3 linked regions of the Macaca mulatta genome follow. Each later gene encodes a partner of the first gene's protein in a complex. Links are inferred from orthologs where the notes say so. Each region holds a gene or a part of one and is shown on either strand. Other genes may lie near its edges.

What was found. Proteins that work in one complex are often made in the same cells at the same time.
Region 2: MED16 (region 1) and MED19 share a complex: the UniProt entries of both Homo sapiens proteins name them as parts of the mediator complex. The link is inferred for Macaca mulatta from reciprocal best matches to the Homo sapiens genes MED16 and MED19.
Region 3: MED16 (region 1) and MED26 share a complex: the UniProt entries of both Homo sapiens proteins name them as parts of the mediator complex. The link is inferred for Macaca mulatta from reciprocal best matches to the Homo sapiens genes MED16 and MED26.

The regions. Positions count from the first base shown.
Region 1 is NC_133424.1:1,528,303-1,531,862, reverse strand, and holds part of MED16 (mediator of RNA polymerase II transcription subunit 16), read left to right. Parts: intron 1-803; coding exon 804-937; intron 938-2,040; coding exon 2,041-2,320; intron 2,321-3,246; coding exon 3,247-3,463; intron 3,464-3,560. UniProt on the Homo sapiens protein: Component of the Mediator complex, a coactivator involved in the regulated transcription of nearly all RNA polymerase II-dependent genes.
Region 2 is NC_133419.1:15,682,016-15,686,070, reverse strand, and holds the start of MED19 (mediator of RNA polymerase II transcription subunit 19), read right to left. Parts: upstream 2,807-4,055; 5' UTR 2,774-2,806; coding exon 2,557-2,773; intron 1-2,556. Other genes in the region: TMX2 (thioredoxin-related transmembrane protein 2), read left to right, coding at 3,210-3,398. UniProt on the Homo sapiens protein: Component of the Mediator complex, a coactivator involved in the regulated transcription of nearly all RNA polymerase II-dependent genes.
Region 3 is NC_133424.1:17,072,856-17,076,990, forward strand, and holds the start of MED26 (mediator of RNA polymerase II transcription subunit 26), read right to left. Parts: upstream 2,807-4,135; 5' UTR 2,725-2,806; coding exon 2,623-2,724; intron 2,471-2,622; coding exon 2,396-2,470; intron 1,734-2,395; coding exon 78-1,733; 3' UTR 1-77. UniProt on the Homo sapiens protein: Component of the Mediator complex, a coactivator involved in the regulated transcription of nearly all RNA polymerase II-dependent genes.

The DNA of each region.
Region 1 (3,560 bases):
TAGGGTTGCCGGGCGCAGTGGCTCAGGCCTGTAATCCCAGCACTTTGGGAGGCCGAGGTGAGCGGATCATGAGGTCAGAGGTCAGATCGAGACCATCCTGGCTAACACAGTGAAACCCCATCTCTAGTAAAAATACAAAAATGAGCAGGGCACGTTGGAAGGTGCCTGTAGTCCCAGCTACTCTGGAGGCTGAGGCAGGAGAATTGCTTGAACCCGGGAGGCAGAGCTTGCAGTGAGCTGAGATCGTGCCATTGTACTCCAGCCTGGGCGGCGTGAGACTCAGTCTCAAAAAATTTAAAAATTAGGGTTATTGTTTGTCTGGAGTACCCAGCTCACTGTGGGCGTGTGGCGCTCGTGGTATCTAGGAGCTGTGTGCACAGTCATTATTTCTGTGGGGCCACCCTAGTCACCATCCAACAGGCATCTGTTGGGTGTGTAACCGGCGCCAGGTGCCGGTCCTGCGTGGCTGCAGCTGCAGTGTGGACACACTGCTGTGTTCACAGAGTTCACCTCGGAGCAGGGGCAGATGTGCACCAGCGGGCCGGGCCTGAGCAGTGGTGGCCCTGGCATGGGGACCTGCCCGCGCCAAGGCCTGCAGGCCGAGAGAAGCGGCCCCCAGGTGGGCGGGCAGTGGGCTCCCGGTTCCTCCCTGGCAACGCCATCGCCCCCTTCTCCTTCCCGCCGTGGGTCCCCTTGTGTCCTGGCAGCGGCTGGGCGCTCGGTGCAGGTCGAAGGACCGAGGGGTGCAGTTAGGTCACCGTGTACAAGAAGCCCGAGCTGACCCGACCCGTGTCTCCTTGCAGACATTGACAAGGTCATGATCAACCTCAAGACGGAGGAGTTTGTCCTGGACATGAACACGCTGCAGGCGCTGCAGCAGCTCTTGCAGTGGGTGGGCGACTTCGTGCTCTACCTGCTGGCCAGCCTGCCCAACCAGGTGCGCTGCGCTCGCCCCTGAGGCTGCCCTCGCCCCTGAGGCTGCCCTCCCCGAGGCCCCGCCCCTCATCGGGGCCCTGACTCCTGGCCCCGCCCCTCATCTGGGCCCTGACTCCTGGCCCCGCCCCTCATCTGGGCCCTGACTCCCTGGCCCCGCCCCTCATCAGGGACCTGCCTCCCTGGCCCCGCCCCTCATCTGGGCCCTGACTCCTGGCCCCGCCCCTCATCTGGGCCCTGACTCCCTGGCCCCGCCCCACATCAGGGCCCTGCCTCCCTGGCCCCGCCTCTCATCTGAGCCCTGACTCCCTGGCCCCGCCCCTCATCTGGGCCCTGCCTCCTTGGCCCTGCCCCTGAAAACCACTTCAGCCCCGCCCCTACTTGGAGCCCCACCTCCTGACACTGTCTATTCTCAAAGCTCCACTGCCTATCCCGCCCGTCCTGAAGCGCTGCCCCACCTCAGAGCCCTCACCTCCATGAAGCTTCTGCAAAAAACCCTTCCTTGACCACACACTTTCTGCCCATTCTCGAAGCCCCGCCTCCCAGACCCTGCCCCTTCTCGGTCCCACCCTTTACTCTCCCCAGCTCCCGGTGCAGGAGGCGGTTGGGGGGAGTTGGCAGCTTTGAAATCATCAAGTCTCCATCCACACCCCCACCTTCAAGTATGCGGCCTGTGTGCCCCGAGCAGGGCTCCAGCCTCCCCCCGCCCACACACTCTGTCCTGCCCAAACCGTGACTTCTCTCCCCAAGTTTCATTCTGCCCTGGGGCCTCTGTCTCTCCACCCGCGCCCATCAGGCACGGTTTGAAGTCCCTGTCTGCTCCTTGTGGGACTTGAGGCTGCCAGGTTCTCTCGGCTCCCAGTACAGCCACCAGGGCCACTCAGCTGTGGGGGGCGGCTGCTCCTCCATGTGCCGGTGGGGACGTTGGCCTCAGCCAGAGCCGCTTCTTAGTCCTGTGGCGGCTCAGGGATGGGACAGCTCTCCAGACGGGGCTGTCCTGGGCCCTGCAGGGCGCTGAGCAGTGTCCCCGGCATCCACCCACTCCGTGCCAGGAGCTCCCCAGTCCTGACCACCACAAACGTCCCAGACCCTGTCCATTGCCTCCAGGTCGGGGTTCCACCGGACCCGAGAGACCTCATCCCATCACCATCTGCCCCCCCGCCGCCCAGCTACTCCGATGCCTCTTTCCGGCAGGGCTCGCTGCTGAGGCCGGGCCACAGCTTCCTGCGGGATGGCACCTCGCTGGGCATGCTTCGGGAGCTGATGGTGGTCATCCGCATCTGGGGCCTGCTGAAGCCCAGCTGCCTGCCTGTGTACACAGCCACCTCGGACACCCAGGACAGCATGTCGCTGCTCTTCCGCTTGCTCACCAAGCTCTGGATCTGCTGTGAGGCCCCCTGCCCTCTGCTCCCCTCTCCCTACCAGAACACACCGCGTCCGAGCCCCCTGCCAGAACATAAGCCCTCTGCTCTCCTCTCCCTACCAGAACATACCGTGTCCGAGCCCCCCGCCAGAACATAAGCCCTCTGCTCCCCTCTCCTACCAGAATGCACCGTGTCCGAGCCCCCCGCCAGAACATAAGCCCCTGCAGGTGGCAATGGCTCTGCCTTGATCTCTGCCATTTCCTCGGTTCGCAGCACAGGTCCATGCTCGGTGTGGGTGCCATTGGGATGGCAGCCACTCCCAGGCTCCTATTTGCTGTCTCTCCTTGTCAGGTTGTGTGTATGTGAGGAGGGTGGGTTGGATCGTTCTTATGTCTCAGTGTCTGGGAAAGGCACAGTGCTTCCCACATACTTTTTTTTTCTTTTTTTGAGATGGAGTCTTGCTCCGTTACCCGGGCTGGAGCGCAGTGGCGCAATCTCGGCTCACTGCAAGCTCCACCTTCCAGGTTCACGCCATTCTCCTGCCTCAGCCTCCGGAGTAGCTGGAACTACAGGCGCCCGCCACTGCGCCTGGCTAACTTTCTGTATTTTTAGTAGAGACGGGGTTTCACAGTGTTTGCCAGGATGATCTCCATCTCCTGACCTCGTGATCCACCCGCCTTGGCCTCCCAAAGTGCTGGGATTATAGGCGTGAGTCACCGCGCCCGGCCAGCTTCCTACATACTTTTTAAGTGAATGAGGGAGTCTCATTATTGAGGCCAGAGAGGGTGAGAGAACCCTGGGGTCACCCAGCCAGGCAGACAGAGCCGGGGCCCCGACCTGGTGCTCCTGAACTGGAGGGGCTCCCCGTGCGTCCCGGGTGGCCGGGTGGTGCCCCGGGCAGGGTTGCCCCAGGCAGAGTTGCCGAGACCTTGGCCACCCCTCTCTGCAGGTCGCGATGAGGGCCCAGCGAGCGAGCCAGACGAGGCGCTGGTGGACGAGTGCTGCCTGCTGCCCAGCCAGCTGCTTATCCCCAGCCTGGACTGGCTGCCCGCCAGCGACGGCCTGGTCAGCCGCCTGCAGCCCAAACAGCCCCTACGTCTGCAGTTCGGCCGGGCGCCCACACTGCCTGGCAGTGCTGCCACCCTGCAGCTCGATGGCCTTGCAAGGTGCGTGTGTCCCTGCATTGGTCCCCAAACACACCTCCCTCCATGCCCTGCCCCAAGGCCCCCCGAATCCACACAGCTCCCTCCCTCCGTGTCCTGC
Region 2 (4,055 bases), on another chromosome or scaffold:
AGGAGAATCGCCTGAACCTGGGAGGCGGAGGTTTCAGTGAGCCGAGATTGCGCCATTGCACTCCAGCCTGCGCAACAAGAGCAAAACTCTGTCTCAGGAGAAAAAAAAAAAAAAAAAAAAAAGAGAGAGAAAGGCAGCATCTTGGAGACCAAACATGTCCAAAACAACTCGATTTCCACCTCTTCAAACTTGTTCCTTCCTCATCTTCCAAGTCTCGTACCCATACACCCAATTATTCAAGCTGAAAACTTAAAAAGGCATCAATTCCTCTATCTCCTTCACTTCTATATACAATATGTATTTTTAACTGAGACAGCTTCTTCCTCTATCATCTAAGCTGGAGCACAGTGGCACAATCACAGCTCACTGCAGCCTCAACTTCCTGGGCTCAAGTGATTCTACCACCTCAGCTTCCTAAGTAGCTGAGACTACAGGTGTACGCTGCTATCCCTAGCTAATTTACTTTTATTTTTTGTAGAGATGGGGTCTCATTATATTGCCCAGGCTGGTCTCAAACTTTTGGGCTCAAGCAGTCCTCCCACCTCAGCCTCCCAAAGTGCTGGGATTACTGGCGTTAGCCACAGCACCTGGCTCTATATTCAGCTTTTCAACCCTGTCAGCTCTACATCTAACACCCTGTATCCATTTACTTCTCTAAATAAGTACATTTGACCAAGTTCCTATGTTAAAATGGCTTTCCTTGGCTGGGCACAGTGGCTCAGGCCTATAATCCTAGCACTTTGGGTGGCCAAGGTGGGAGGACTGTCATTGGCCAGGAGTTCAAGACCAGCTTGGGCAACACAGTAAGACCCAGTCTTTACAAAAAATTTTTAAGTTAGCCAACTGTGGTGGCACATGCCTGCAGTCCTAGCTACTTGGGAGGCTGAGGTGGGAGGACAGCATGCGCCTAGGAATTGGAGGTTACAGTGAGCTATGACTGTACCACTGCAGTCCAGCCTGGGTGACACAGTGAGACCTTGTCTCTATAAAAAATTGTTTTAAATGGCTTCCTTTTGTATTTACAATCTAAATGCCTTTATTGCTTTATAAAAGCCTCTGCCTAACTCTCCCAGCTTCATCTCTCTCCTAACACTCTTTCCTTTTGTTCACTTCACTGGAGTCCAACTGATTTTCTGTCCCTCAGATATTCTAAGCTTTTTCTCACATCAGGGTTTCTGACCTCATTTCCTGTATCTAGAATTATCTCTCCCTCCTGTCCATAGCTGGCTGGCCCTTTGTCTATGCTTACATTTTAGTTCAAATTTTAGCTATGTGGAGAGAGCATCTCTGGCCACTCTAGCTAAAGTAGTTCTGCCCCTCAATTTTTTTTTTAAGAGACAGGGTCTCATCTGTTGCCTAGGCTGGAGTGCAGTGGCACAATCTTGGTTCACTGCAGCCTGGACCTCCTGTGTTCAAGCAATTCTCCTCCCTTAGTCTCCTGAGTAGCTGGGGCTACAGGCAAGCACTACCACGGCCGGCTAATCTTGTATGTTTTGTAGAGACTGGGTCTCGCCATGTTGCCCAGGCTGGTCTCAAACTCCTGGGCTCAAAGGATCCTCCTGCCTCAGCCTACCCAAGCGCTGGGATTACAGGCGTGAGCAATGCGCCTGGCCACCTTCAATTTTTTATAATGTTTTCTCTTCCTAGCATTAACCACTCTCTGACATTATCTTGTTTACAATGCCTCCTACACTGAAATGTACATTCCAAAAAAGGCAAGCATCTTGTCAGTCTTGTTCACAACTGTATCTCCAGCATTTAGAAAAGTGCTTGGTACATAGGTACTCAACAAAATAATTTTTTGAATGAAAAGAGTTTGGTTCGATTCTTACCCCTTCTTTGATGACACCAGGAAACGCAGAAATCTTGGAAGAGTGGCAACTTGCCCCAAACCCACAGCAAGTCTGTGGGAGACTTGTAACTAAAACTTTAGGTCCCCAAAGATATTAAATCAGGCCTCTCGAGTTCCAAACTCAAACTCTTGATTTTTTGTTTGTTTGTTTTTGTTTTGAGACGGAGTCTCATTCTATCGCCCAGGCTGGAGTGCAGTGGAGCAATCTCGGCTCAATGCAACCTCCGCCTCCCGGGTTCCGAGTAGCTGGAATTAAAGGTATACGCCACCACGCCCAAGTAATTTTTGTGTTTTTAGTACAGACAGAGTTGCATCATGTTGGCCAGGCTGGTCTCGAACTCCTGACCTGAGGTGATTCGCCCGCCTCCGTCTCCCAGAGTGTTGGGATTACAGGCGTGAGCCACTGCGCCCAGCCCTAGATCATTTTTTAGGGAGACATAAACCAGTGTCAGGAACACAGCCTGGACATGGTGCAAAAGACAGTCACGGAGATGCACCACCCCGCTCCCCGCCATTCATCCCTTTGGTTGAATTCAACTCATCCCTCTGCTTGTGAATCCTAATAGCCCTTTCGACTTAGGGCTCCACAGTCCGGGTATGCGTTGCCTAGGTTACCTCGCACCTCCGTTAGCCGGCTGAGAGCCACGCCCAACACCTCCTCTCTAAGATTTGATTGGCTGGCTTTGGCAAGGCCGAGTACTCACCTGGCAGTTCCCTCATGAGGTAAAAAGGGCCACAGCCAGCTCCTGACTTGTCCGCGCCGGGAGGGGCCGTGGCCGCGGTGGGAGGCGGAGCCGTGCCGGGTCCCCCGCCCGGAGGAGGCGGTGGCGGGGGTGGAGGCTTTCCTGGTCCGAAGCCTAGTGCGGTTGGGGGCGGTGGTGGGTCAGCCTGAGCCCCGAACAGCGCCGTGAAATTCTCCATCGTCCCCTCCGCCCCGGCGCTGTCTCGGTGTCTGGCGTTGGTAATTTTCATTGGACAATGCCTTTAAGGAATACCCACCTCTTTCTCAAGGAACCGCTTGTCATTGGATGCCTCAGGCACCGCCTACCTTGTTTCAACAACTACTTCCGTCGCTCTCTGAGAACGTTCAGGAAGTGCTATTTAACCTTATTAGAGTCTTCTGCTAGCTACGTTAGCTACAGTCCAATAAAATGACTTAAGCTGATAAAGCGACAGCTAGACCAACCAATAAGATATTAAGTTCTTTTTTGGGTTCTGACATACCACAGCGTTGACAGAACTACATCCGGGTTTAGAGGCCGTACGTTTGAGATGTAGCCCAATAGCAGTCGCTATGGTGGGGGAGGCGGGGCCGGACCTACGACGCCGGTGAGCAGTGGCCCTTGCGGCCGAAAAGATGGCGGTCTTGGCTCCTCTAATTGCTCTGGTGTATTCGGTGCCGCGACTTTCACGATGGCTTGCCCAACCTTACTACCTTCTGTCGGCCCTGCTCTCTGCTGCCTTCCTACTCGTGAGGAAACTGCCGCCACTCTGCCACGGTTTGCCCACCCAACGCGAAGACGGTAACCCGTGTGACTTTGACTGGGTGAGCGTCCCGCGTCTCAGTACCGCGACCTTGACTGTCCCTGCCCTTGCAGGTGCATCTGGGAACCCTGGGGTTTACCTTTCTGAGGACACCTGAGGTTCCGAGCCTGTAGCGGATTTAACAGACTGTAAAGTGCAGAGTCCGAAACATCGTCGAGACTAAACTTTGTGTTTAATATGGGAAAACGGAACCTGTTAGTCGTAGCCCTGTACAACGGCCCAACAGCTTCTGACTGTTGAGTCCAGGTTTCTTTCCATTTCACCATTTAGACTAAGAAACAGCCCTGTCAAAACTGTACATATACGTGTATAGCATCTTACAGTGCCGCTCATTATGTAAAGCCTCCTGAGGAGCCAGTAAGGTAGGGAAGGCAAGTAGTAGTAGTCCTGTTTCATTGGTGAAGGAATGGATCTTGGTATATTTAGGCGACTTGCCCCAGGTCATGCAACTAATGAGTGCCTGGGACTTGAAACTATTCTTGTGGCCACACTACCTGCACACACTGTCAGCCGTTTCTTAATTCAATCAGCATTTCTAGAGTGTACACTCTAGGCACTCTGCTTGATCCTGAGGATGCGAAAGTGGATAAAATTTTGGGGCTACTGTAAAGGAATTGTAAAAAATAAGTTGTAAAGAAATCTTTGGGCTTTCTTTGAG
Region 3 (4,135 bases), about 16 Mb from region 1:
CCGGCCACCCACCCACCTGCCTGCCCGCCCGCCCGGCTTCTGCAAGATGGGAATGCACTTCGTGGCTGACGGGCCGGTCAGTCCAAACAGACATAAGGCAGAATGTTCAAGCGCCCGTCATCGCCGTGCGGATCAAGTGATATGCACTGCGTCCAGTCATACCAGTTACCCTGTGTGTCCTGACACCCGTTCACCCCCGGCCACTGGCTGGCCTGGATTCTGTCGAGATCGTCCTGTGTGATATCCCGGGTCAGCCCGGGGAGGTCTGTGGGCGGGCTTTGAGGCACCAGCACGTGCAGCTGCCTGGCCCCTTGCCGGGTGCTCTCCTCCTGCTTCAGGTACTCAGACATGAAGTGGTGAGCCCCCGGGGTCTGCGCGCCCGACGATGAGAGCAGGCTGCTCTGCCGGCTCAGGTAGGACTGGATGATCTCGTTGCGTGACAGCTCCTTCCAGTTCGTCTGTTCAAAGGGGCTCTGGAGGCTGGCCTTGGCCTCCTGCTTGTCCAGCTCTGTCCTGGACTGCTGCTCCATGTGCACAGGGCTGTCTGCCCGCACTGGCTCTTTCTGGGTCAGAGGTTTGATCTGTCTTGTCATGGGGTCAAAGGTGAGCTTCCGCTCTTTTAACCGGACAGGCTTGACGCCCGCCTCAGCCACCTGCCCGTCCAAGTTAACCGTGTAATCTCGAGGCCGGTACCTCTTCTTCTTTTTACTGTCCGAGCCCCCTGAGGAGGCAGCGTCACTGTCCGCCTTGGAGGAGTCTGGGGAGAAGCCCGCCCGGGACAGGAGGGGCTCGGCTGGGGACAGCCCTGCCTTGCAGCCCGGCCCCGCCAGCCGCTGGTGGCTTTCCGGCTGCTCAAGCCAGCGCACTGGGCTTTCCGCACTGGGCAGCAGCTCAAGCCGCCGTACAGGGGGTGTGGACGGCTGTGCCAGTGGAAGCGGTGACGGCACCTGTGTGGCATCGAGCGCCTGGGGCCGCGGTGAGGGGCTGGGCACGGAGCCCTTGGGTGCATACAAGCTCTGCTGCCGGGCAAAGGAGCCCTCATGCCGTGAGTTCCGAGGACTGAAAGAGCAGCGAGGGGGCCCCTTGGGGTGGGGAGGCCCCGGAGTCTCATCCACCCTGTCCAACTGCTGCAGCACCGAAGCCTTTGGCTGCAAGCAGGGTCCAGGGGGCTTGCCCAGGCCTGGGGAGCTGGTGTGCGGCCGCACAGCGTTGATGGGGATCTTGCCACTGTGCTTGTCGTTCTCGCCACGCTCCAGGCGGCCGCCCTCTGGGCCTGCATGCCCACTGCCATCCAGGGAGCCAGGGAAGCTCTCTGGACTCCCACTGATGCCATTGGTAGGGAGGGGGGATGAGTTGGGGACCAGGGGGTCGTGGCTAGCTTTGGAGACCTTAGGTGGTGGCCCTGGGTGGCCGAGGTCACGCTGGTCACCCCTGCGCTTGCGGCTGCCCAGCCTGTCCAGCCGCTGCCCGGGCAGCCTCTGGAGGTCATTGCGGCTCTTCAGGTCATGGATGCTCCTGGGCGGGCCAGCCGCCCCCACCTCCGGCCGGCAGTTGTGTGCACCCCCGTTGGCAGAGCCAGTGGCCCCCGCCAGCCCCCGCAGCGCTGCCTCATGCTGGTGCGCTGGCTCGATGAGCTTCTGCCAGCTCCGCAGCAGCTTCTTGGCCCGCTTGGCGAGCTCCTCGTTCTTGGTTTTCTTGCGGACGTCGTTGATGAGCTTCCCAAGTCGTGTTTCCTACAACCAGAAAGAGAGATGATGACATACTTTCGGGACAGGGACTTCCCCATGAGCTGAGCCAGAAATGGTGGGAAATGGCCCTGACAATGAAATGACCTGGTTCCCACTGAGCCCTAAACTGCCAGCCTCCCTGGCACAAAACTCCTGGGGATTTCCGGTCCTTTGTGACAATATAAATTCTCAAACCTAGTCCCCAGACCTTCAGAGTCCCAGGTGGCTTCTCAGCAGTGCTGTCCCGCAGGCTCCTGGTGCCAGGGGGCTGTCAAGGCCACTGTAAGGACACTGCCAGGGAGGCTTTCTGGATGAGAGGGTGCTGTGGCCAAGGCGGCAGCACAGAGGGTCTGCTTCAAGTGGAGGGTTGGGGACGGCGCCTCTCATTGGAGCCTCCCCCAAGCACACCTCTCCTGATGTCCCCATGTCCCCACGTGCCCACGTGCCCATGAAGTGTGCTGGGCAGGTAGGATGGGATTAATGCCACTTGGTCACTGCAGTGGCCACAGGAGAGCAAGATCACGGGGCACAAGCTGTGAGGGCACACCGCCTCTCTTGGTCCTCTGAAGCAAAGACACACGCTCCTAGAAGCTGGGGAAGGAACTGGGTTGGTGCCGTCCCCTGTCCCCCATTCTGCACTCCCAAATGCTGGGGTCTGGGATACTCACCTCAAGTGCCTCTTTGGTAATGGGGTATTTCTCCAGGCTGGAGATGACTTCCAGCACCGCCACCATGTTCCGGATCTGTGGAAATAAAGAAAAAGCCATTTGTCAGGTTCCTGCCCTTCTCCCCTGGGAGGCAGGGACACCCTACCCCAGCCTGCTCCAGTCTCTCCCCAACCCCAGAGCAAGAGGAGCTGGCAGCACTGAAGCCCCCACTCCATGTAGTCTCCTACCTGCTCCCCAGGCCAACCTGGCGCCCAGTGCTCATCCTCACCCGCTGTCCGACCTCCTCCAGTGTGTGGTGTGCGGTCTGCTCCAAACCCTCCAGTGTACATGGTACATATCCACCCACCTGCTGAAACCCAGGATGCTTGTGAAACAAGAGCTGCTCCTGATACTTAAAATGACCTCTACTCTGCCATCTGATGGGAGTGGGAGAGGAGACACTGAAGAATTCATCGAATAAAATCCACAAAGCTTAAAAGATCAATACATAGGCTGGGCGCGGGTGGCTCACGCCTGTAATCCCAGCACTTTGGGAGGCCGATGAGGGCGGATCACGAGATCAGGAGTTTTGAGACCAGCCTGGCGAACACAGTGAAACCCCATCTGTACTAAAAATAAAAAAATTAGCTGGGTGTGCTGGCATGCGCCTGTAGTCCCAGCTACTCGGGAGGCTGAGGCATGAGAACTGCTTGAACCCGGGAGGCAGAGGTTGCAGTGAGCCAAGACCACGCCACTGCACTCCAGCCTGGGTGACAGAGCGAGACTCCGTTAAAAAAAAAAAAAATTCAATACATAATAAACCAGTCGATTTGAATCCAAAGACACCATAAAGAGAGCAGAAAGTCACAAAGTGGGAGAAGGCATAGACCACAAGCCCCAAGGAGCTGTATCTGGAACACACAGAGAATGCCTGTGCAGCAGTGCAGCTGACCAGGAACCCAGCGCACAGTGGCTACAAGACAGGAACAGGCACTGTGCAATGAAATGTCAGCGCTAATGCTCAGCTTCTCAGCTTTATCAATAATTAGGAAAACTCAAACTGAACCCACAAATGGATATATGATACACGCACCCCACTGACAATACTAGGTACTTCTGGGGGTACAGCCGACTTTGGGAACGGCTGGACTTTGTCTGGCAGAGTGAAACATGAACACATCCTATGACCGAGTAATCCCACCCTTTTAGGATCTTGCTAGGAGCCACACCTTGTTCTAAGCACTTCCCACACATTACTAACTCCTTTAATTGTTACAACAAGAATTCCTACCGCTCAACCGCCACCTCCAGCAGCTACAGGTTTCTGGTGGGCTGGCTGGCAGGCGGGAACCCAGGGGCCCTGAGGAAACCACAGTGAGTAGATTACACAACTCCCCCCCACCCCCACCCCAACATGATAAAGGAGTTAAGCAGGCACATGATACAAATTAAAACAGCGTAAAAGGGCACACAAGGAAATGGGCATCTCTGACCCAGCCACTGTAGCATTACCTTGCATTTTTTTCCAAAAATATCCCTTGTGTATGCAGGCGTATACATCTACACTTGTCACATATTTCAAAACCAAACTGACCGTGGTTCTTGCCTTTTCTGACTTAACATCAGCAATGTCCAGCCTCAAACAGAGCCCCTCATTTGGCTCACCATCCCTTCCAGAGTGGGGAAGGCCCGACTTGAATGTTGTGGGACACTTAGGCACTTTCTGTTCGCCATTACAAAACAAGGCTGCAACTGACGGCA